Anolis sagrei: one gene and its partner. The main gene of each other region encodes a partner of the protein of the gene in region 2 in a complex. Links are inferred from orthologs where the notes say so. Each region holds a gene or a part of one and is shown on either strand. Other genes may lie near its edges. The genes, in order: BMP10 and BMPR2.

Region 1 (10,988 bases), on a different chromosome or scaffold from region 2:
ATAATACTCAGCAGTAATATAATAAATATAATACTTATACATATAATCCTAAACATAATATTATTATCAATATCATGATATAATAATAATAAATAACATAATAATAATAATAATAAATAACATAAATAACATAAATCTCTTCATCATAAATAATCTCTCTCTCTCTCTCTCTCTATATATATATATATATATATATATAAATGCTCTGTTTGTTTTGTGTGACATCATAACTCAAAACCACTGGACTAATTACCACCAAATTTGGACACAAGACACCTACTAACCCAAGGAGTGACCATCACTAAAAAAAAAATGATTTTGCCATTTGGGAATTGTAGTTGCTGGGATTTATATTTCACCTACTATCAAAGAGCATTCTGAACAATAGAATTGGGGCAAACTTCCCAAACGGAACTCCCCTAACCAACAGAAAATACTGTGACACCCCATGGTGACCACCCGGGCACCCAACCCCCAGGTAGAGAAATGCTGCCTTAATGCCATCCAGTCCAACTTCCTTCACCAGGGAAAGAAATCATCATCAAAGCCTTCCTGACAAAGAGCCATCCAGCCATAGATAGATATGATTCACACACACACACATATATGTATATGACAGATATAGTATCATAGATTGGAAAGGGACCCCTCCTTTTTTTCATGTCAGGAGCAACTTGAGAAACTGCAAGTCGTTTCTGGTGTGAGAGAATTGGCCGTCTGTAAGGACGTTGCCCAGGGGACGCCCGGACCCCTGAAGAAGGACAATGATACGTTGCACGTTCCAGAGTAGGCAAACCAGACAATCTCCACATCAACACTGACCGAGAAACAACAAAAAATACCGTTTACCCACAATCATAAAAAATACATATATTAGAAACCAACACTTTCTCATTACTTTATTTTCCAGAGCACCAAACTGGGCCACGGCAATGTGTAGCAGGGAATGGCTAGTACAATATAATAAATATAAACATAATACTATATATATATATATATATATATATATATATATATATATATATATAAATGCTCTGTGCATAATGAGTACCTTAAAAACAAAAGAACCAATGAATGAAATCACACCAAATTTGGCAACAAAATGTCTCACAACACAAGGAGTGACCATCACTCAAAAAATTATAATTTTGTCATTTGGGAGTTGTAGTTGCTGGAATTTATAGTTCACCTACAATCAAAGAGCATTCTGAACTCCATCAATGATGGAATTGAACCAAACATGGTACACAGAACTCCCATGACCAACAGAAAATACTGGAAGGGTTTTGGTGAGCATTGACCTTGAGTTTGAGAGTTGTAGTTCACCTACATCCAGAGAACACTGTGGACTCAAACAATAATGGATCTGGATTAAACTCTACACGAATACTCAATATACCCAAATGTGAACACTGTTAGAGTTTGGGGAAAATAGAATCTTGACATTTGGGAGTTGTAGTTGTTGGGATTTATTGTTCACCTACAATCACAGAGCATTCTGAACCTCACCAATGATGGAATTGAACCAAACTTGGCACACAGTTCTCCCATGACCAACAGAAAATACTGGAAGGGTTTGGTGGGCAGTGTCCTTTGGTTTTGGAGTTGTAGTTCACCTACATCCAGAGACTCAAAAAATGATGGATCTGGACCAAACTCTACACGAATACTCAATATGCCCAAATGTGAACACTATTAGAGTTTGGGGAACATAGAATCTTGACATTTGGGAGTTGTAGTTGCTGGGATTTATAGTTCACCTACAATCACAGAGCATTCTGAACCCCACCAACGATTGAATTGGGCCAAACCTCCCACACAGAACCCCTATGTGGGCCACAGCAACGCGTGGCGGGGAACGGCTAGTATAATAATAAAATTACAAATTGATTGTCCTTTCCCTGCATGGAAGAAAGTCAGACTAGATGGTCCATGGGGGTCTCTTCCAAATCTATTCTTCTGTGAGATAGAAGAGACTCCTTGGATGCAACCCAAAATCCCATTGACTTTTGGAGCTGCTGCATCCCATTGCTGGCTCATGTTCAACTGGTTCTCCACTAAGACCGCTTTATACACTGCCATGTAATTCAGATTATCAAAGCAGATAATCCATATTACCTGCTTCGAAATGGATTGATATGAGTCTATACTCATATCAATGAGTCTATAGAAGGCATGATCATCAAGTTTGCAGATGACACCAAATTGGGAGGGATAGCCAATACTCCAGAGGACAGGAGCAGGATTCAAAATGATCTTGACAGATTGGAGAGATGGGTCAAAACTAACAAAATGAAGTTCGGCAGTGACAAATGCAAGATACTCCACTTTGGTAGGAAAAACAAAATGCAAAGATACAGAATGGGGGACAATGCCTGGCTTGAGAGCAGTACGTGTGAAAAAGATCTCGGAGTCCTCGTGGACAACAAGTTAAACATGAGCCAACAATGTGATGTGGCGCCAAAAAAAGCCAGTGGGATTTTGGCCTGCATCAACAGGAGCATAGTGTCTAGATCTAGGGAAGTCATGCTACCCCTCTATTCCGCTTTGGTTAGACCACACCTGGAATATTGTGTCCAATTTTGGGCACCTCAATTCAAGAGAGATATTGACAAGCTGGAATGTGTCCAGAGGAGGGCAACTAAAATGTTCAAGGGTCTGGAGAACAAGCCCTATGAGGAGCGGCTTAAGGAACTGGGCATGTTTAGCCTGAAGAAGAGAAGGGTGAGAGGAGATATGATAGCCATGTATAAATATGTGAGAGGAAGCCACAGGGAGGATGGAGCAAGCTTGTTTTCTGCTTCCTCGGAGACTAGGACGCGGAACAATGGCTTCAAATTACAAGAGAGGAGATTCCATCTGAACACGAGGAAGAATTTCCTGACTGTGAGAGCCATTCAGCAGTGGAACTCTCTGCCCCAGAGTGTGGTGGAGGCTCCTTCTTTGGAAGCTTTTAAACAGAGGCTGGATGACCATCTGTCAGGGGTGATTTGAATGCAATATTCCTGCTTCTTGGCAGGGGGTTGGACTGGATGGTCCATGAGGTCTCTTCCAACTCTTTGATTCTATGAGTCTATACTGCCATATAATCAATTTCTTTGAAAGTAGTTGTTCTACTCCAGAAACTTTGTTTTGCCACAGACTAATTGGCTTAGACTCGATGAAATATTCATTGAAAAACTAGGGTGAAATGTGCTGCAGGACGATCTCTCTCCCGCACAAACTTTTTGCAGTTTAGTAAATATTTCCCATGTTTTATGATCTAACAAATTAGATTGTCGTCTTACATAGTGTTATTATTATTATTATACAATAATAATATACGATATTATATAGTATTATTATTAATAAAAATATACAATCTATATAAATAAAAATTTAATGTTTGGACAAATTGACACCAAATTTGGACACAAGACATCTAACAACTCAATATATGTCCTTCACTAAAAAAATGATTTTGTCATTTCGGAGTTGTAGTTGCTGGGATTTATAGTTATAGTTCACCTACAATCATAGAGCTTTCTGAACTCCACCAATGATGGAATTGAACCAATCTTGGGACACAGAACTCCCCTGACCAACAGAAAATACTAGAAGGGTTTGGTGAGCATTGACCTTGAGCTTGGGAGTTGTAGTTTACCTACATCCAGAGAACACTTTGGACTCAAACAATGATAGATCTGGACCAAACTTGGCACGAATATTCCATATGCCCAAATATGAATACAGATGGAGTTTGGGGGAAATAGACCCTGACATTTGGGAGTTCTAGTTACTGGGATTTATAGTTCACCTACAATCAAAGAGCATGCTGAACCCCACCAACGACAGAATTGGGGCAAAAGTCCCACACAGAACCACCATACTTAAGACCATCCAGTCCAACTCCTTTCACTAGGGCAAGAAAACGTAATCAAAGCCCTCCTGATAAAGAGCTATCCAGCCATAGATAAAGATAGATATATGATGATTCACACACATACACACAAACACAGATATAGTATCATAGATTTGAAAGGGGCCCCTAAAGAAGGATAATTATATGTTGCATGTTCCAGAGTAGGCAAACCAGACAATCTCCACATCAACACTGACAAAGAAACAACAAGGAATAGTTTACTCACAAGTATAAAGGAATTACATATATTAGAAACCATTACTTTATTTTTCAGATCACTAGACTGGACCACAACAACGTGTGGCAGGGGATAGCTAGTAATAATATATAATGTGCTGCATTTCCATGTTTTGATGATGGAACCAATTAGGAAATGACACTGGTAACCCAGGAACAATAGTCGTGTGAAGGTCATTTTGCATCCAGACCCTGTCTTCTGCAATATGAGCTCTCCATCCCAATTTGGTTCCAAACTTGATAAGAAGCATGCTCTTTAAACCTTCTTCTAAGCCATTCATGCATTTTCCTTCTTTCCACCCAAGAAGCTCCCAAAAGTAAGGCAATGTCCGGCCAAGCAATCTCTAAGGTCTCAAGGAGAGCGTCCCGGGCCTTACCTTCGTTCTTGAAGCTGCGGACAATGTTGGCGGAGGGCATAGAACTCTTGTCAAGGGTGAAGCGGTGGAAGAGCTCCAGCATGTATTCGGGAGGCTCCACTTTGGCCGGTTCTTGGACAGGGACCTCAGAGATGTTGAGGGCCTTCAATAGGTTCTGCAGAATGGGGTCCTGCTCGTCAAAGAAGGCCACATCCTCCGGCGCATCCAGGTCTCGGATGGGACCTCCGTCTCCAATGCGGAGCAGCATGACGGCCCACATTTGCAAGGCCACCAGCCTCATAGTTGCCTTTCTCATGGTTGCGTCCCAGCACAACAGATAGAGAGAGATATATATGGTCGTCCCAGCACAATGGATAGAGATAGAGATATATATGGTGCTTGTCACTAGCCGTGGACAAGTCTGGAAGCTCTTGCCCAGGCGCTTGTCATGCGAACGCCTCTCCTTCCAATCCCACCCCCTTTCGTCCAGGTCTCAGTAATTGGATCTGGTCTCCAATGGTCGCCTTCGCTGCCTTATCTCCCCCAGTGTAAGCTGTCCACCAGATTTCGGTCTCTATCTCACAAATGCGCCGCTCTCTTAATGAGCATGGTGTAAACATTCCTCGTTGGGATGCGATGGAAGAGTTGGCCAACTTTTTCCCCTCGTCTTGTGCGGAAGGACATACCCTCCCTTCCTCTACTTCTGTTTTCTCTGAGGACTGTTTCTAAGGGGGCATCTGCACTGGAGAATTAATGTGCTCAAATGGCAACGGCTCAATCCTGCATCCGGTTCTGCATAGATATAGGATGAGGGACACCTGGCTGAAGAACCTTCCGTGTGAAAGGAATCTAAGGATCTTTGGAGACCACAGCCTGAGCATGAGTCAACAGTGTGATGTGGCAATGACCAATGCCATTCCAGGCTGCATCCATAGGAGCCTAGCATCCACATCTCTGGTTTCTCTGGTTGCTTCTGGATCGAGAGAATCAGCCGTCTATGAAGACATTGCCCAGGGGACGCCCGGATGTCTTGCAATCCTGCGAGGAGGCTTCTCTCATGTCCCACTGGAAGCGTTGCATTGAATCCCACTGGAGCATTGCAGCGCACCTAAATACCTGGGAGTCACTCTGGACCGTTCTCTGACCTACAAGAATCACTGCCTGAACATCAAACAAAAAGTGGATGCTAGAAACAATATCATACGAAAGCTGACTGGCACAACCTGGGGATCACAACCAGATACAGTGAAGACATCTGCCCTTGCGCTATGCTACTCTGCTGCTGAGTATGCATGCCCAGTGTGGAACACATCTCACCACACTAAAACAGTGGATGTGGCTCTTAATGAGACATGCCGCATTATCACAGGGTGTCTGTGCCCTACACCACTGGAGAAATTACACTGCTTAGCCGGTATTGCACCACCTGACATCCGCCAGGAAGTTGCAGCCGATAGTGAAAGGACCAAGGCAGAGACATCTCCAGCTCATCCCTTGTTTGGGTATCAGCCAGCACGTCAATGACTTAAATCAAGAAATAGTTTTCTTAGATCTACAGAGACACTCGCTGGAACACCTCCGCAAGCGAGAGTCCAAAAGTGGCAGGCCCAAACCCAGCACCTCAATCCGTGGGTGATACCAGATGAGAGACTCCCCCCTGGGCACACAGAAGACTGGGCGACTTGGAAGGCGCTGAACAGACTGTGCTCTGGCACCACAAGATGCAGAGCCAATATTAAGAAATGGGGCTACAAAGTTGAATTCACGACGTGCAAGTGTGGAGAAGAGCAAACCACTGACCACCTGCTGCAATGCACCCTGAGCCCTGCCACATGCACAATGGAGGACCTTCTTGTGGCAACGCCAGAGGCACTCCAAGTGGTCAGATACTGGTCAAAGGACATTTAATCAGCTACCAAGTTTGCAAAATTTGTGGGGGGTTTTTTTCATCTGTTTGTTTGTTTGTTTTGTTCTGTTAGAAATGTAATACAATGTTCTGGTTGCGGATGACACGATAAATAAATAATCCACATCGAGGAAACTCCTAGTCTCTCTCTTCTGCTTTGGGAAGATCTCCTCACCTGGAATGACAGCCCTATGTCCCATTCTGGACAAAGCAATTGAAGAAGGAGTGCCTGAGAGTTTGGTCCTGGGCCCAATATTCTTCAACGTCTTTATTAATGGCTTGGATGAAGGTTTAGAGGGCCTGCTTCGTATCAAGCTAGCAGCTGGGACTAAATTAGGAGGGAGAGCGAATACTCCAGAGGACAGAGTCAGGATGCAAAAGGACCTCAACAGATGAGAGCTGATTGACCAAAAGAAACACAATGAATGTCAACAAGGAGCAATGTAAGATGCTACACTTAGGCAGGGAACAATGAAATGCAAAGATACAGAATGAGAGATGCCTGGCTCAACAACAGTCCATGTGAAAAAGATCTTGGAGTCTTCGTGGGAAGCAAATAGAACATGAGCCACGAGTATGATGCAGCAGCTCAAAGGCCAATCTAGTGTCTAGATCAGTGGTTCTCAACCTGGGGGTCGGGACCCCTGTGGGGGTCGCGAGGGGGTGTCAGAGGGGTCGCCAAAGACCATCAGAAAACAGTATTTTCTGTTGGTCATGGGAGTTCTGTGTGCCAAGTTTGGTTCAATTTCATCATTGGCGGAGTTCAGAATGCTATGTGATTGTAAGTGAACTATAAATCCCAACAACTCCAACTCCCAAATGTCAAGGTCTATTTTCCCCAAACTCCACTAGTGTTTACATTTGGGCATATTGAATATTCATGCCAAGTTAGGTCCAGATCCATCATTGTTTGAGTTTCTGGAGGTAGGTGAACTACAACTCCCAAACTCAAGGCCAGTGCCCATCAAATCCTTCCAGTATTTTCCGTTGGTCATGGGAATTCTGTGTGCCAAGTTTGGTTCAATGTCATCATTGGCGGAATTCAGAATGCTCTTTGATTGTAGATGAACTATAAATCTCAGTAATTACAACTCCCAAATGACAAAATCAGCCCCACCAGTATTCAAATTTGGGCATATCGGGTATTTGTGGCATATTTGGTGCAGTGAATGAAAATACATGCTGCATATCAGATATTTGCATGCCGATTCATAACAGTAGCAAAATTACAGTTATGGGGTAGCAACGAAAATAATGTTATGGTTGGGGGTCACCACAACATGAGGAACTGTATTCAGGGGTCGTGGCATTAGGAAGGTTGAGAACCACTGGTCTAGATCGAGGGAAGTCCTGGTGCCTCTCTATTTGGCTTTGGTCAGGCTTCACCTGGAATACTGTGTCCAATTCTGGACACCATGATTCCAAGCTGGAAGATGTCCAGAGGAAGAGGGAGACCCAAAGGATCAAAGGTCTGGAGACCATTAATAATCCGTCTGAGGAGCATCTTAAAGAGCTGGGTTTGTTTATCCTGCAGAAGAGAAGGTTGAGTGGAGGAGGAATGACAGCCATGTCTAAATATGTGAAAGGCTGTCATAAGGAAGAGGAAACAGTCTTCATTTCTGCTGCCCTGGAGACTAGGACGCGGAGCCATGGGTTCAAATGACAAATGAAGGAGATTCTACCTGAACATGAGTAAGAACTTTCTGAACGTACAAGCTGTTCAGCAGTTGAACTTTCTGCCTCAGAATCTGGTGTAAGCTCATTCCTTGGAAGCTTTTAAACAGAGGCTGGGTGGCAGTCTATCGGGGATACTTTGTGCTTTTCCTGCAGGACAGAAAGAAGGGGGTTGGACTAGATGGCCCTTGGAAGTCTCTTCCAACACTAGGATTCTATGATTCTAAGGAGATGTACAAGAAAGAAGGTGTCCAGAGAAGGGCTCCCCAAAAGTTCAAAGTTCTGGAAACCAATAATCCCTCTGAAAAATGGCTGAAGAAGTTTGGGATGTTTTTCTTGGAGGAAAGAAGGTTCAGAAGGAACATGAGATCCATGTTTAAATATCTGAAAGGATGTCATATTGAGGAGGAGGAGTTACAAACATCCAGCTTCTAAATTACAGTTAAGCACAGGGGTGGCCTGGATGGTTTTTGGGGGGCCCTTCCACATCTAGGATACTATAGGTAAAGGTAAAGGTTTTCCCCTGACATTCAGTCCAGTCGTGTCCGACTCTGGGGTGTGGTGCTCATCTCTATTTCTAAGCCGAAGAGCCGGCGTTGTCCATAAACACCTCCAAGGTCATGTAGCCAGCATGACTGCAAGGAGCGCCATTATACTAGATCTCACATATATATACTAGGCTTGGGCAATCCATGGTTCTAAATGGTTCTAAAGTACTTACAAGACTAAAGTTCTGGTGGTGAAAATTTCAGAACTCTAACAAAACTCTCAAAATTTCATAATAAATGGCAGTTCCTAATTGGTTCTGTCATTAAAATCACCAATAATGAAATAATAATTAAATTTTGAAAGTTTTGTTAGAGTTCTGAAATTTTCACCACCAGAACTTTAGTTTTGTAAGTACTTTAGAACCATTTAGAACCATGGATTGCCCAAGCCTAATATATACATATAGAGACCTATATATATGCAGTTCCCAAGTTACAGACATCCAATTTACAAATGACTCACAGTTAAGAAGAGAACTGGGTTGGATGGCCTTTGGGGACCCCTTCCAAATCTATGATATATATAGAGATATAGTTATAAACACATCCAACTCCTATTTAGGAGGTTGAGACAATAGGAAGTGAGAGGAATCTTCCTCTTGAAAGGAAGGGAAATCCACTCCTGGGAGAGTTGGTATCAGGGGGGAAAGGGTCTCTGCTCAAGCTTTGTCCCCAATACTTGTTTTCACAACAAGCCACATTTTGCAAAATCCAATAATAACAGGGATAGAAAGTGGGGTGAAATCTTCTGAACAGAGATACAGGCAACAGGGGTGTTTACCCTTCCCTATGCCATACCAAAGCCATATATTAACACTATGCACAGTGGGTTAAAGTGCTGAGCTGCTGAGCTTGTTGACCGAAAGGTCGCAGGTTTGAATCTGGGGAGCAGCGTGAGCTCCTGCTGTTAGCCCCAGCTTCTGCCAACCTAGAATTTTGAAAATATGCAAATGTGAGCAGATCAATAGGTACCACTCTGGCAGGAAGGTAACGATGCTCCATGCAGTCATGCTGGCCACATGACCTTGGAGGTGTCTACAGACAATACCAGCTCTTCGGCTTAGAAATGGGGATGAGCACCACCCCCCAGAGTCAGACACGACTGGACTTAATGTCAGGGGAAAACCTTTACCTAACACTATGCAACACGATGTTTGTTCCTGGGTTATTAATGTCATTATTTCCTAATTGATTCTGTTATGAAAACATGGGTAAAGTTTATTATAAGGCCACGCCTTTGTTCTTGGAAGAAGGACATTATCCTGCGATAGCACAATGGCAATCTCATCATCTAGTCTCAACTAATTCGACAAAAACAACAAAGTGTCTGGAGTAGAACAACTATTTTCAAAGTAAGGGCCACACAATTAAACAGGAAAAACCCTGTCAAACCAGGAACATAATTTATTTTTTCAAATGTTGTTGCATAGTGTGATTCAAGCTCTGTTATCCAAAAGCGCAACTAACTCAATGCGGAGGGGACGTTCCTGCAGGACATTTTTGGGATTCTCTCCCTTGTCATCGTCTTTCCTTGCAACTTTGGTATTCCTTTGGTGTCCGATAAGGAAGGGAGAGCCTCTCCCATGACATTGACACAAGCAAGGCGGGCGACCCAAGACCTTTTTCGCCCCTTTTCTCACTCCTGGGTCTATTTCAAGAGCGACATTCTTATCCTTAATGAGGATTCCAAGGAGGAAAAACTCAGTGAACTTTCCAGAGTCAAAACTCCCAGATACCATTGTGTTGCAATGCAGCCACCCATCCCAACCGCTCCTTGGATGCTCATAAGGGGCACCTGCACTGCAGGATTAATGCAGTTTGACGCCACTTTCAATGTTGTGGCTCAATGCTATGCAATCTTGGGAGTGGGCCTCCATTTGCACCATCGTTGTGTTTGCACTCGGGTGCCATTCATCCCGGTGTTTGCTTTCTCACAGTTGGAAGAGCACCCAGCCCTGTTTGCTCTGCTTCTTGCACCTTGATTTTATGTATGTGTGTGTGTGTGTGTGTGTGTGTGTGTGTGTGTGTGTGTAGAGAGAGAGAATGCTGTAATCGTGCAAAACATATGATGCGATGCCAATTAAAACACTGTACATGCAATGACACTAGGGGTGCATTCAATAATAATAATAATAATAATAATTCCAGACTTAAAACTTTATTTTGAAGCGGCAGCACTACAATGAGTAAAAGACTGGGCTACACTAAAGAAAACAAGACTTTTAGCACATGAATGGTTTAATTTACGAAGAGGGTGGCATTCCTATTTATGGTTTGATAAGTTTAAAATCGAAAAAAACTTCAGAAACCATTTTTTTAGATCCACTTTAATAAAAACTTGGAATAAATTTAAAAAATAGAATATA
Region 2 (11,352 bases):
TGACACAGCCAATGTTTACCTTACTAGTGTAAATATTCCATACATTTTAACTCACAATTTTCCAAGGAGACTTCTGAAAAATTTTAAAACCTTAAAAATTGTCAATCCCAACCAGAGCAAACATGTTAAATCAATGAGATTTATGTAAATGGTAACATATATTCAGCAACTGGACCTACAAGCAGCAACTAAATTTAGGTCTAAATATATAGCACACTGTTCTTCTGAAAAAAATTTTTTAGAATTATTCATTATTCATATTTATCCAATTTGATATCTGGGCAAGCGGATACCTCGGCAGCCACCTCTCCACCAAAGTCAACATCGACGCCGAAATACAACACCGCCTGAGCTCTGCAAGTGCAGCATTTTCCCGAATGAAGCAGAGAGTGTTTGAGGACCGGGACATCCGTAGGGATACCAAGGTGCTTGTCTATAAAGCTATTGTCCTCCCAACCCTGCTATATGCCTGTGAAACGTGGACTGTCTACAGACGTCACATGCAGCTCCTGGAATGATTCCATCAGCGCTGCCTCTGGAAAATCCTGCAAATCTCTTGGGAAGACAAGCGGACAAACGTCAGTGTGCTGGAAGAAGCAAAGACCACCAGCATTGAAGCGATGGTCCTCCAACATCAATTCCGCTGGGCCGGCCACGTTGTCCGGATGCCTGACCACCGTCTCCCAAAGCAGCTGCTCTACTCTGAACTTAAGAGCGGAAAATGGAACGTTGGTGGACAGGAAAAGAGATTTAAAGATGGGCTCAAAGTCAACCTTAAAAACTCTGGCATAGACACTGAGAACTGGGAAGCCCTGGCCCTTGAGCGCTCCAGCTGGAGGTCAGCTGTGACCAGCAGTGCTGCAGAATTCAAGGAGGCACGAGTGAAGGGTGAAAGAGAGAAACATGCCAGGAGGAAGGCACGTCAAGCCAACCCCAACCGGGACCGCCTTCCACCTGGAAACCAATGCCCTCACTGCGGAAGAAGATGCAGAGCAAGAATAGGGCTCCACAGCCACATACGGACCCACAGGGAAACCCATGATGGAAGACCATCTTACTCATCCAACGAGGGATCGCCTAAGTAAGTAAGTATCTGGGCAAAATAATATTAAAAGGATACTACACAGATTTCAAAAGTAAGTCCTCATTAACTTGTTCTATGTGACATTTGTTAACAATCACAAAAGATTCTGAAATCTTGAAGATCTACTTTAAAAATTAACACATCCTTAAGCCTATTTCTTCAATGCATTTAAAGTAATTTTCCACAGTATTTGCTTCTCTATTGAACAAATGCACTACAAATTCAAAAAAAAAAAGAGAGAGAGAGAACTAAAAGAAAGTAATATGGTGTTAGGCAGATGTTTTAGGTTTCTAACAGAGGAATACTCTACCTACTCAACAATAAGTTTCACTGACTTCAGTAGAACATACTCTCAAGTAAGCATGTATATTATTACAGCCTAAGCATTTGGATAAGTGCATGCAGGAAAGATAATTAAAAGCATAATGATGTCTCAGCACTTCAGAGAGTTCTTTTATTTCTATCTCCCAAGCTACAGTGTGCCACTATCAGGCTTCTCCACAGTACCAAAGCATGAACTATACTCCCATTCCTTGTCCATGTATGTAGATGTAGAACAAAGCTAGTAATGAACAAAACCAACAAGATTAACATCACTCAGTGTGCAAATATATTTCAGATATTGCATTGTGCACCAGAACTTATATTTATGTTCAGCTGACTATTTCATGGCAGATTTTGTCAAATAATTTTCTTTAAAATCCAGATGACATATATTGTCTCGCATGTGTTTAAAACATTGTATACAAAGAGTAATAATCATTTATTTATTTATTTACAACATTTATATCCCACCTTTCTCACCCTGAAGGCGACTCAGGGCAGCTTACATAATTGGCGTTATTCCATGCCCAAACAACAACAACAATTAAAAGCAATTAAACAAAAATTTAAAACAACATTAAACAACATATGTAAAGAATAGACGACAATCGTGCATACATCCAAAGCCAGATAATCAAATAATCATATTCATCAAGCCAGGATGAATTCCAACTGTATTGCACAGATAATTATGCTGGGTCAAATACTTGCTCTCAAAGAGGAGATTTCACTTGTTTGCGAAATGACAGGAGGGAAGGGGCCGATTGAATCCTACTAGGGAGGGAGTTCCACAGCCCAGGAGCCACCACTGTGAAGGCCCTGTCTCTCATCCCCACCGGTCGTGCCGATGAAGGTGGCAGAACTGAGAACAGGGCCTCCCCAGAAGATCATAACCTCAGTGATGGTTCATGGAGGGAAATGTGTTCGGATAGGTAAGGTGGGCCGAGGCCATTCAGGGCCTTATATGCCAAAGCCAGCACTTTGAATTGTGCTCGACAGCAAACCTGCAGCCAGTGAAGCTGGTGCAACAGGGGAGTTGTGTGCTCCATATATGCAGCTCCAGTTAGCAATCTGGCTGCCTCGCCTTGGATTAGTTGAAGCTTCCGAACAATCTTCAAAAACAACCCCATGTAAAGCGCGTTGCAGTAGTCTATACGAGATGTAACCTGCACATGGACCACCATGGCCAAGTCTGACTTCCCAAGGTACATACATAAAGAACTAGTAACCTCACTGTTGTGAATAAAGATTTGATACTCATGAAATTGAATATTTTTTCATTGTGTTATATTGTCATTCCACATCATAAGAGACCTTGAGACATATCTACAATGAGAAACATACAACAACAAAAATTGTTCACCCAAACCCTGCAAAATAGAAACCAGCACCTGGTAATTATTCCCATTTCCAAGAGAATGATGCAGACATTTTAAAGGGACAGATCTGAATATTGGCCAGCCGCACCCCCTTCTTTTGTAGCAGCCTAGCTGTTACCTCTAGAACCGGTTGAACCAATGTATTGAAATACACAACCATTCCTTTTTTTCCACTGGGGCCACATCCACACAGCTGAATAAAATCCCACATTATCTGCTCTGAACTGGGATATATGTCAGTGTGGACTCAGATATTCCAGTTCAAAGCAGATTTTTGTGGGTTATTCTGCCTTGATGTTCTGGGTTATATGTCTGTGCAGGAGGGCCCTGGAACGAAATGGGTTTTAAACCCGGGTAATCCGGTTTAATTCATGAGCAGATCATGCTGCCGGGTTACACCCACTGGCTACTTACCAGCCGCAGTGCTGAGGAGTAAGGTGGCACTGGCGAAGAGCAGCACCCGCCAAAGGTGCTGCAGCAAGGCAGTCATATTTGGAGGGACCCAGGGAAGGGGGCCTGATGGGCGCGATTTCCCTCGAAAACAAGGCCAACTGGGAGGAACCCTTCCGGCCGCCAGAGAGTCGACAACCTTCCTGGTTTACAATCCAGCCGGGAAGGGCAAAGGCGAGGTCTGGCCAGGAGCCGCCCGAGCTCTTCTGACTCCACGACGCGAATCTGCCTTCATCTTTCAGGGCTTCACGGGAGGGGGGTCCTCAAACCAGTATGGGGGATCCTCTCCCCAGATACAGGACCATCCCTGCGAGGCTGGAAAACCCAGATTAAGAATTCCCACGCGTCTTCTTCACAGGATCAATGCCCCGCTTTGGTTTCCAATGAATCATATCCAGAGGGGAATGAAGAGGATGGTTGAAGACTGTCAGGAGAAGCAGCTTCCCTCAAAGGGAGGTTGAAAAACACGAAGAACACCCCCCACCACCACACACAGGAAAATATATTACAAGGATATTAGTGTGTATCGTAGATATAGATATATAGATTCTCTCTATATATACATAGTATTACAAGGAGGAGAAAGAGAGGAAGGCGCCTCTGTGCTTCTTCTGTGAGGGAGGCAATGAGCAAATCAGAGCTGCCCTGTCCTTGGCTTCAACCAGCCCAAAAGAAAGCAAGGCCCATTTTTGGTCCTCCACAGAAAGGACCTCTTCAGTTGCAAGTCGGGGGAAAAAAGGCCTCCTTTTCTTCTTCTTCCCCTTCTTCCGCTCAGCTCAGCAGAGGCCTCTCCCTCACACAGGTCCCAACAGCGCCAGGCCGAGCCTTTCTTTCTTTCTTTCTTTCTTTCCTTCTCTCTCCCTCACAGTCCCGTCGCCTCCTTTCTTCACAGGCTCGCCTTCCTTTTTGGCCGTTTCTCGAGGCGAATAGTGGAGTCTCGCGCAGCCCCCCTCGCGCGCGCGCGCGCATGCGCCCTCCCTCCCCCACCGCGCGCGCTACCAAAGCTGCTTTTTTTTTCCTATTCCTTTTCAGACCAGACACAAAGGGGAGCCGCGGCGAAACTGGCAGTCTTTCTGTGCCCGGCCCGTGGGCGCCACGAAGCCCCGCCCCCTTCGCCGCCAGCGCCGCCGACGCCTCTCGCTTTGGCCACGCCCCCTTTCCTCCTCCCTCCTCGCGCGCCTCCTTCCCTTCCAACTCCTCCCTCTCCCCTTCCAGTTCCAGCCTAGAGTGGCGGCACGTAACGACGCTCTCCTCCCAGTTTTTTTTGTTTTCCGCGCCCCTCCCGCACCGCCATGTTGCGAAGAGTTCCATGTTTGCCAGATCGGCGGCCTGGAGGGAAAGTGCGTGGGAAGGGCAGGAGGAGATTTTGTTTTGCCTCCCCTTTGGGTTTTTTTTCCCCCATCTCCGTGAGAAGGCGCCTTCTTCAACCCTAGGATGTTAATTGGCTTGAGGGCCTGATTCACATCTCAAGATTGCTTTTTGTAAAAATCTCAAGCATTGTATATAAGATGTATCCATGCCAGGCATGGGCAAACTTGGGCCATCCCTCCAGGTGTTTTGGACTTCAACTCCCACAATTCCTAACAGCCAGGCATGGGCAAACTTGGGCCATCCCTCCAGGTGTTTTGGACTTCAACTCCCACAATTCCTAACAGCCAGGCATGGGCAAACTTGGGCCATCCCTCCAGGTGTTTTGGACTTCAACTCCCACAATTCCTAACCGCCAGGCATGGGCAAACTTGGGCCATCCCTCCAGGTGTTTTGGACTTCAACTCCCACAATTCCTAACCGCCAGGCATGGGCAAACTTGGGCCATCCCTCCAGGTGTTTTGGACTTCAACTCCCACAATTCCTAACAGCCAGGCATGGGCAAACTTGGGCCATCCCTCCAGGTGTTTTGGACTTCAACTCCCACAATTCCTAACCGCCAGGCATGGGCAAACTTGGGCCATCCCTCCAGGTGTTTTGGACTTCAACTCCCACAATTCCTAACCGCCAGGCATGGGCAAACTTGGGCCATCCCTCCAGGTGTTTTGGACTTCAACTCCCACAATTCCTAACAGCCAGGCATGGGCAAACTTGGGCCATCCCTCCAGGTGTTTTGGACTTCAACTCCCACAATTCCTAACAGCCAGGCATGGGCAAACTTGGGCCATCCCTCCAGGTGTTTTGGACTTCAACTCCCACAATTCCTAACAGCCAGGCATGGGCAAACTTGGGCCATCCCTCCAGGTGTTTTGGACTTCAACTCCCACAATTCCTAACAGCCAGGCATGGGCAAACTTGGGCCATCCCTCCAGGTGTTTTGGACTTCAACTCCCCCAATTCCTAACAGCCAGGCATGGGCAAACTTGGGCCATCCCTCCAGGTGTTTTGGACTTCAACTCCCCCAATTCCTAACAGCCAGGCATGGGCAAACTTGGGCCATCCCTCCAGGTGTTTTGGACTTCAACTCCCACAATTCCTAACAGCCAGGCATGGGCAAACTTGGGGCATCCCTCCAGGTGTTTTGGACTTCAACTCCCACAATTCCTAACAGCCAGGCATGGGCAAACTTGGGCCATCCCTCCAGGTGTTTTGGACTTCAACTCCCACAATTCCTAACAGCCAGGCATGGGCAAACTTGGGCCATCCCTCCAGGTGTTTTGGACTTCAACTCCCACAATTCCTAACAGCCAGGCATGGGCAAACTTGGGGCATCCCTCCAGGTGTTTTGGACTTCAACTCCCACAATTCCTAACAGCCAGGCATGGGCAAACTTGGGCCATCCCTCCAGGTGTTTTGGACTTCAACTCCCCCAATTCCTAACAGCCAGGCATGGGCAAACTTGGGCCATCCCTCCAGGTGTTTTGGACTTCAACTCCCCCAATTCCTAACAGCCAGGCATGGGCAAACTTGGGCCATCCCTCCAGGTGTTTTGGACTTCAACTCCCACAATTCCTAACAGCCAGGCATGGGCAAACTTGGGGCATCCCTCCAGGTGTTTTGGACTTCAACTCCCCCAATTCCTAACAGCCAGGCATGGGCAAACTTGGGCCATCCCTCCAGGTGTTTTGGACTTCAACTCCCCCAATTCCTAACAGCCAGGCATGGGCAAACTTGGGCCATCCCTCCAGGTGTTTTGGACTTCAACTCCCACAATTCCTAACAGCCAGGCATGGGCAAACTTGGGCCATCCCTCCAGGTGTTTTGGACTTCAACTCCCACAATTCCTAACAGCCAGGCATGGGCAAACTTGGGCCATCCCTCCAGGTGTTTTGGACTTCAACTCCCACAATTCCTAACAGCCAGGCATGGGCAAACTTGGGCCATCCCTCCAGGTGTTTTGGACTTCAACTCCCACAATTCCTAACAGCCAGGCATGGGCAAACTTGGGCCACCCCTCCAGGTGTTTTGGACTTCAACTCCCACAATTCCTAACAGCCAGGCATGGGCAAACTTGGGCCATCCCTCCAGGTGTTTTGGACTTCAACTCCCCCAATTCCTAACAGCCAGGCATGGGCAAACTTGGGCCATCCCTCCAGGTGTTTTGGACTTCAACTCCCCCAATTCCTAACAGCCAGGCATGGGCAAACTTGGGGCATCCCTCCAGGTGTTTTGGACTTCAATTCCCACAATTCCTAACAGCCAGGCATGGGCAAACTTGGGCCATCCCTCCAGGTGTTTTGGACTTCAACTCCCACAATTCCTAACAGCCAGGCATGGGCAAACTTGGGCCATCCCTCCAGGTGTTTTGGACTTCAACTCCCACAATTCCTAACAGCCAGGCATGGGCAAACTTGGGCCATCCCTCCAGGTGTTTTGGACTTCAACTCCCACAATTCCTAACAGCCAGGCATGGGCAAACTTGGGCCATCCCTCCAGGTGTTTTGGACTTCAACTCCCACAATTCCTAACAGCCAGGCATGGGCAAACTTGGGCCATCCCTCCAGGTGTTTTGGACTTCAACTCCCACAATTCCAAACAGCCGGTGGGAGTTGAAGTCCAAAACACCTGGAGGGATGGCCCAAGTTTGCCCATGCCTGATCTTAACACTGGAATTAATGCAGTTTTGCTGCTATTATTATTATTATTAAACTTTATTGATACCCCACCACCAGACATGTAGCGGAGGGAGGGGCTTGAGGGGCTTCAGCTCCCCCCCCCCCCAAATTCTCATGGTGGTCCGCGAGAAGGCCTTATTAATTCTATACTAATCCCAGCGTACCTGTCTGAACATATATCCCTCTACGTCCCACCTCGGAGTTTAAGATCTTCCGGGGGGGTCCTGCTCTCGGCCCCACTTTTATCACAAGTGAGACTGGTGGGGACGAGGGACAGGGCCTTCTCGGTGGTGGCCCCTCGCCTGTGGAATTCACTCCCCGGGGAAATTAGGTAATCAACATCCCTCCTCTCCTTCAGGAGGAAGTTAAAAACCTGGATTTGGGACCAGGCCTTCGGGTAAGCTGGCAGATGGACAAAAGACAATGACGACCAGAGTAGGAAAGGACAATGACAATGCTGGATGGATTATGGATTTATAAATCGGCAAACATTGACCACAAAATGATTTTATTGCTGTTATTGTATTGATTTGATTGTTTTAACTAGTAATAACTGTTGATGTTAAATTGTATATTGTATTTTGTGAATTGTTAGGCATCGAATTGTGCCTTTGGTAAGCCGCCCTGAGTCCCCCCTAGGGGGTTGAGAAGGGCGGGGTAGAAGCACTCCAAATAAATAAATAAATAAACGGTTCTGGCCCAGTTTACCTGTCTGAACAGATTCTCCCCTATGCACCATCAAGGTTGCTAAGATCTTCTGGAGGGGCCCTGCTCTCGGTCACACCACACTCGCAATCGCGTCTGGTGGGGACGAGAGAAAGGGCCTTCTCGGTGGTGGCCCCTTGGCTGTGGAACTCTCTCCCAATGGAGATTAGATCTGCCCCTTCCCTCCTGATCTTCAGAAAGCTAGTGAAATCCTGGCTCTGGGACATAGCATTCTCAGAACGATTGCGGAGTTCAGCAATAACCTAATAACTACTGACCACACTGGCGGATTGAGATGAACATGATTTTATCTTGGCGATTTGGCATTATGTATTTATTTTGTTTGTATTTAACTTATTGTGATGTTAGTATGTTTTTAGTTGTATTTGTGTATTGATTTTCTGCTGTTAGCTGGCCTGAGTCCCTCTGTGGAGGTTGAGAAGACTGGGGTTTACAAGTTTTAAATAAATAAATTACTGGTACATTATTTAAACTGTTGTGTTTATTCATATCATGATCTGATCACCATGCTCAATCTATCCCATATGCACGGGGGTATTGGGGTAACGATACAAAAGGTTTGCTAGGGTAGACCCTCTTTCACTCAGACTCAGCCCCCACCCCCCCAGGTTGCATAGGACCGTAAATAGAAAGGTTGAAGCAAGACCAATTGGGAGTCAAAAGTACCAACTACAGTGTCATATAAAATCCACATTGCCTCACCTACACTGCCATATAGAATCCAAATTATCTGCTTTGAACTGGATTATGAGTGTAGACTCATAATCTAGTTCAAAACAGATAATGTTGACTATTTGCTTTGTTAACCTGGATTATATAACAGTGTAGAAAGGGCCTAGGTTGGCTAGTATTGTATGCCTTTAGGTCATTTCTGATCTATGGTAACCCTACAGTCAATGTATCATAAGGTTTTCTTGCCAAGATTTGTTCAGAGGTGGTTTGCCTTTTCCTCCCACTGAAGCTGAGAGAATGTGATACACCCAAAGTCATCTATTGGATGTCCATGACTGAATGAGGCTTTGAACCCTGGTCTCCAGAGTCATAATCACACATCCAATCCACTACACTGGAGCTGTATACAATGATAGCAACTAAAGCTGAGAGTTACTGGCTTGAAGTCATTTGGTTAAATCACATTTAAGCAGAAGTTTTCCAGTTCAAACCATCAGCTGCGTTTTTACAACTAGCTGTGTGTTCACGGGGCTCCCATGTCCTTTATAGAAGTGTTTGCTGCATCCTAATGTATTATACAACCTATATATTGTAATGTATATACAGGGGAGTGTTGCCCTTTTAAAATAACATCTTCAAAGAAATAGGGTAAGTCCAATGCATTATGCAACCAACCTTAATATTCAGAGTTTCATTACGAAAATGAGCTAACAAGCCCATAGGGTGAGATTGCTCCAACAAATTATCCATTCGCTCCCTGCATTATGTTTGCAACCATGCTAAGCTGCCTGTGATTTATTTCATCATGTCAACATACTGGTATGCGTTGTTTGCAAAGATGCTTAATAGTTGGCATCTGCCAATCTTTTCTCCTTTCATCAAGTCACTTTGGAGCGTCTTCCAAAACCAGATTTTCCTTATCTCTGTTTCTGTTGCAGACTGTGAGTTTCTGCCTTCAGCTCTTTCCCCCAAATGTCTTTTCCTAGACCTTTAACTTCTTAAAAGTACCGGGAGATGCAGAGGGTGGAAGAGTCACCGGAAATCAACCCCTGATCCACCTCTGGGAGTATTATGAGCAGAATATTGCACTTGGGAACGTTCCCACCAATCTAATTAAAAACATAGTTTGCCTAAAGGCAGAAAAGAGAGTTGAAAAAGAATTCTGGATTAATATCTGTTCAGATACAAGACATAGCAAAGTAGTTATGTTGTCAATTAGCATCAAGTCAACGTTGACTTATAGTAACACTACAAATGTGAGACCTCCAAGCCTCCCTGTCATCAACAATGCTGTTTGGGTCTTGTAGACTCAGGGTTGATTGAGGGAGCATCTATACCGTAGAATGACTGCCATTTGAGATTATTTTAACTGCCATGACTCAAAGCAGTGGAACAAGGTTTTTCACCATCTCTTGCAAAGAGTGCAGGTGTCTCCCCAGATTACAACTCCTGTGATTCCATAACATGGAACTACAGTAATTCTACTGTGTAGTTGCAGATTGAGTCCGTCCATCTCAAGTGTGATCTTCTAACAGTATGCTCACCAGTAGGCTTATGTAATTTGGTTGGAGGGCGATCCGTTTTGGTATCCAAATTTTGTTGGGTTCCCAGATCTGTTTTCGGGAACTTCCTGAAAGTCGGCTAATGGAAAAAACTGTTTTTGGCTAAGCAGCCGAAAGATCCGGGAAGATCCAGCTCATTGGTGGGAATGGGTAAATTACGAATCTCCCATTTCCATTCCTGGGATGCATTCCTTTCTTCCTTTCAAACGGGCCTGGGTTTGAGGAACAGGGTTAAGGAAGCACCCCTTCTGGGACCCTTTTCTTCCTTCCTTTTGATGGAGCCTGGGTTTGAGGAATAGGGTGAAGGAAGCATGTGCTGCATGCTCCCAAATAGAGGGGAAGAAGTTGCTTCTGGCAAACATGGGCCATTTCGGCCAAAAAAACCTTGGTGGCTGATCCCTTACCATTACGACCAAGCTGAATTGGCCGAAGGGAAATGACCAAACCGAATCAATGCACAAGCCTACTCATTAGCTATATACACACACACATACATACACATCTATACATATACATATATATACATGTATTAATTGTTCGGAAACTAAAATTACTACAGAATTGATGTTTATATATCAGTGACTCATTTCTGAGCAGAAGACACCATATCCTTACCCAGCTCATCTTCTAAAGTATCCTTCTGGGACGCCTCGCGGGAATGGGTCTCGGGGGTACTGCCTTGCAGTGGCTCCGGTCCTTTCTCGAGGGTCGCTCCCAGAAGGTGTCACTAGGGGACTCCTGCTCGACTCCTCGGCCATTGTACTGTGGAGTCCCGCAGGGCTCAATGCTGTCCCCTATGTTGTTTAACATATACATGAAGCCGTTGGGAGAGATCATCCGGAGTTTTGGGGTGCGATGTCATCTGTACGCAGATGATGTCCAACTCTATCACTCATTTCCACCTGCCACTAAGGAGGCTGTTCAGGTCATGAACCGGTGCTTGGCCGCTGTCACGGACTGGATGAGGGACAACAGATTGAAACTAAATCCAGACAAGACAGAGGTACTCCTGGTCAGTCGTAAGACCGAACAGGGTACGGGGTTACAGCCTGTGTTGGACGGGGTCACACTCCCCCTAAAAGCACAGGTACGCAGTCTGGGAGTTCTCCTGG

The links.
Region 1: the proteins of BMPR2 (region 2) and BMP10 are in contact, whole or in part, in a crystal structure (PDB 7PPA), measured with the Homo sapiens proteins. The link is inferred for Anolis sagrei from reciprocal best matches to the Homo sapiens genes BMPR2 and BMP10. Residues at the interface, in NP_001195.2 of Homo sapiens: Asp38, Ser64, Tyr67, Leu69, Lys81, Cys84, Trp85, Ser86, Ile88, Gly89, Asp90, Pro91, Gln92, Glu93, Thr103, Thr104, Pro105, Pro106, Ile108, Tyr113, Phe115; in NP_055297.1 of Homo sapiens: Tyr329, Lys333, Asp338, Ser339, Trp340, Ile342, Ala343, Pro344, Pro345, Gly346, Tyr347, Glu348, Glu395, Pro396, Ile397, Ser398, Ile399, Leu400, Leu402, Val407, Tyr409, Phe411, Ala417.

What each region holds. Positions count from the first base shown.
Region 1 is NC_090027.1:20,127,163-20,138,150, forward strand, and holds the start of BMP10 (bone morphogenetic protein 10), read right to left. Parts: upstream 4,905-10,988; 5' UTR 4,811-4,904; coding exon 4,516-4,810; intron 1-4,515. UniProt on the Homo sapiens protein: Required for maintaining the proliferative activity of embryonic cardiomyocytes by preventing premature activation of the negative cell cycle regulator CDKN1C/p57KIP and maintaining the required expression levels of cardiogenic factors such as MEF2C and NKX2-5.
Region 2 is NC_090021.1:165,344,862-165,356,213, reverse strand, and holds the start of BMPR2 (bone morphogenetic protein receptor type-2), read right to left. Parts: upstream 4,352-11,352; 5' UTR 3,278-4,351; coding exon 3,202-3,277; intron 1-3,201. UniProt on the Homo sapiens protein: On ligand binding, forms a receptor complex consisting of two type II and two type I transmembrane serine/threonine kinases.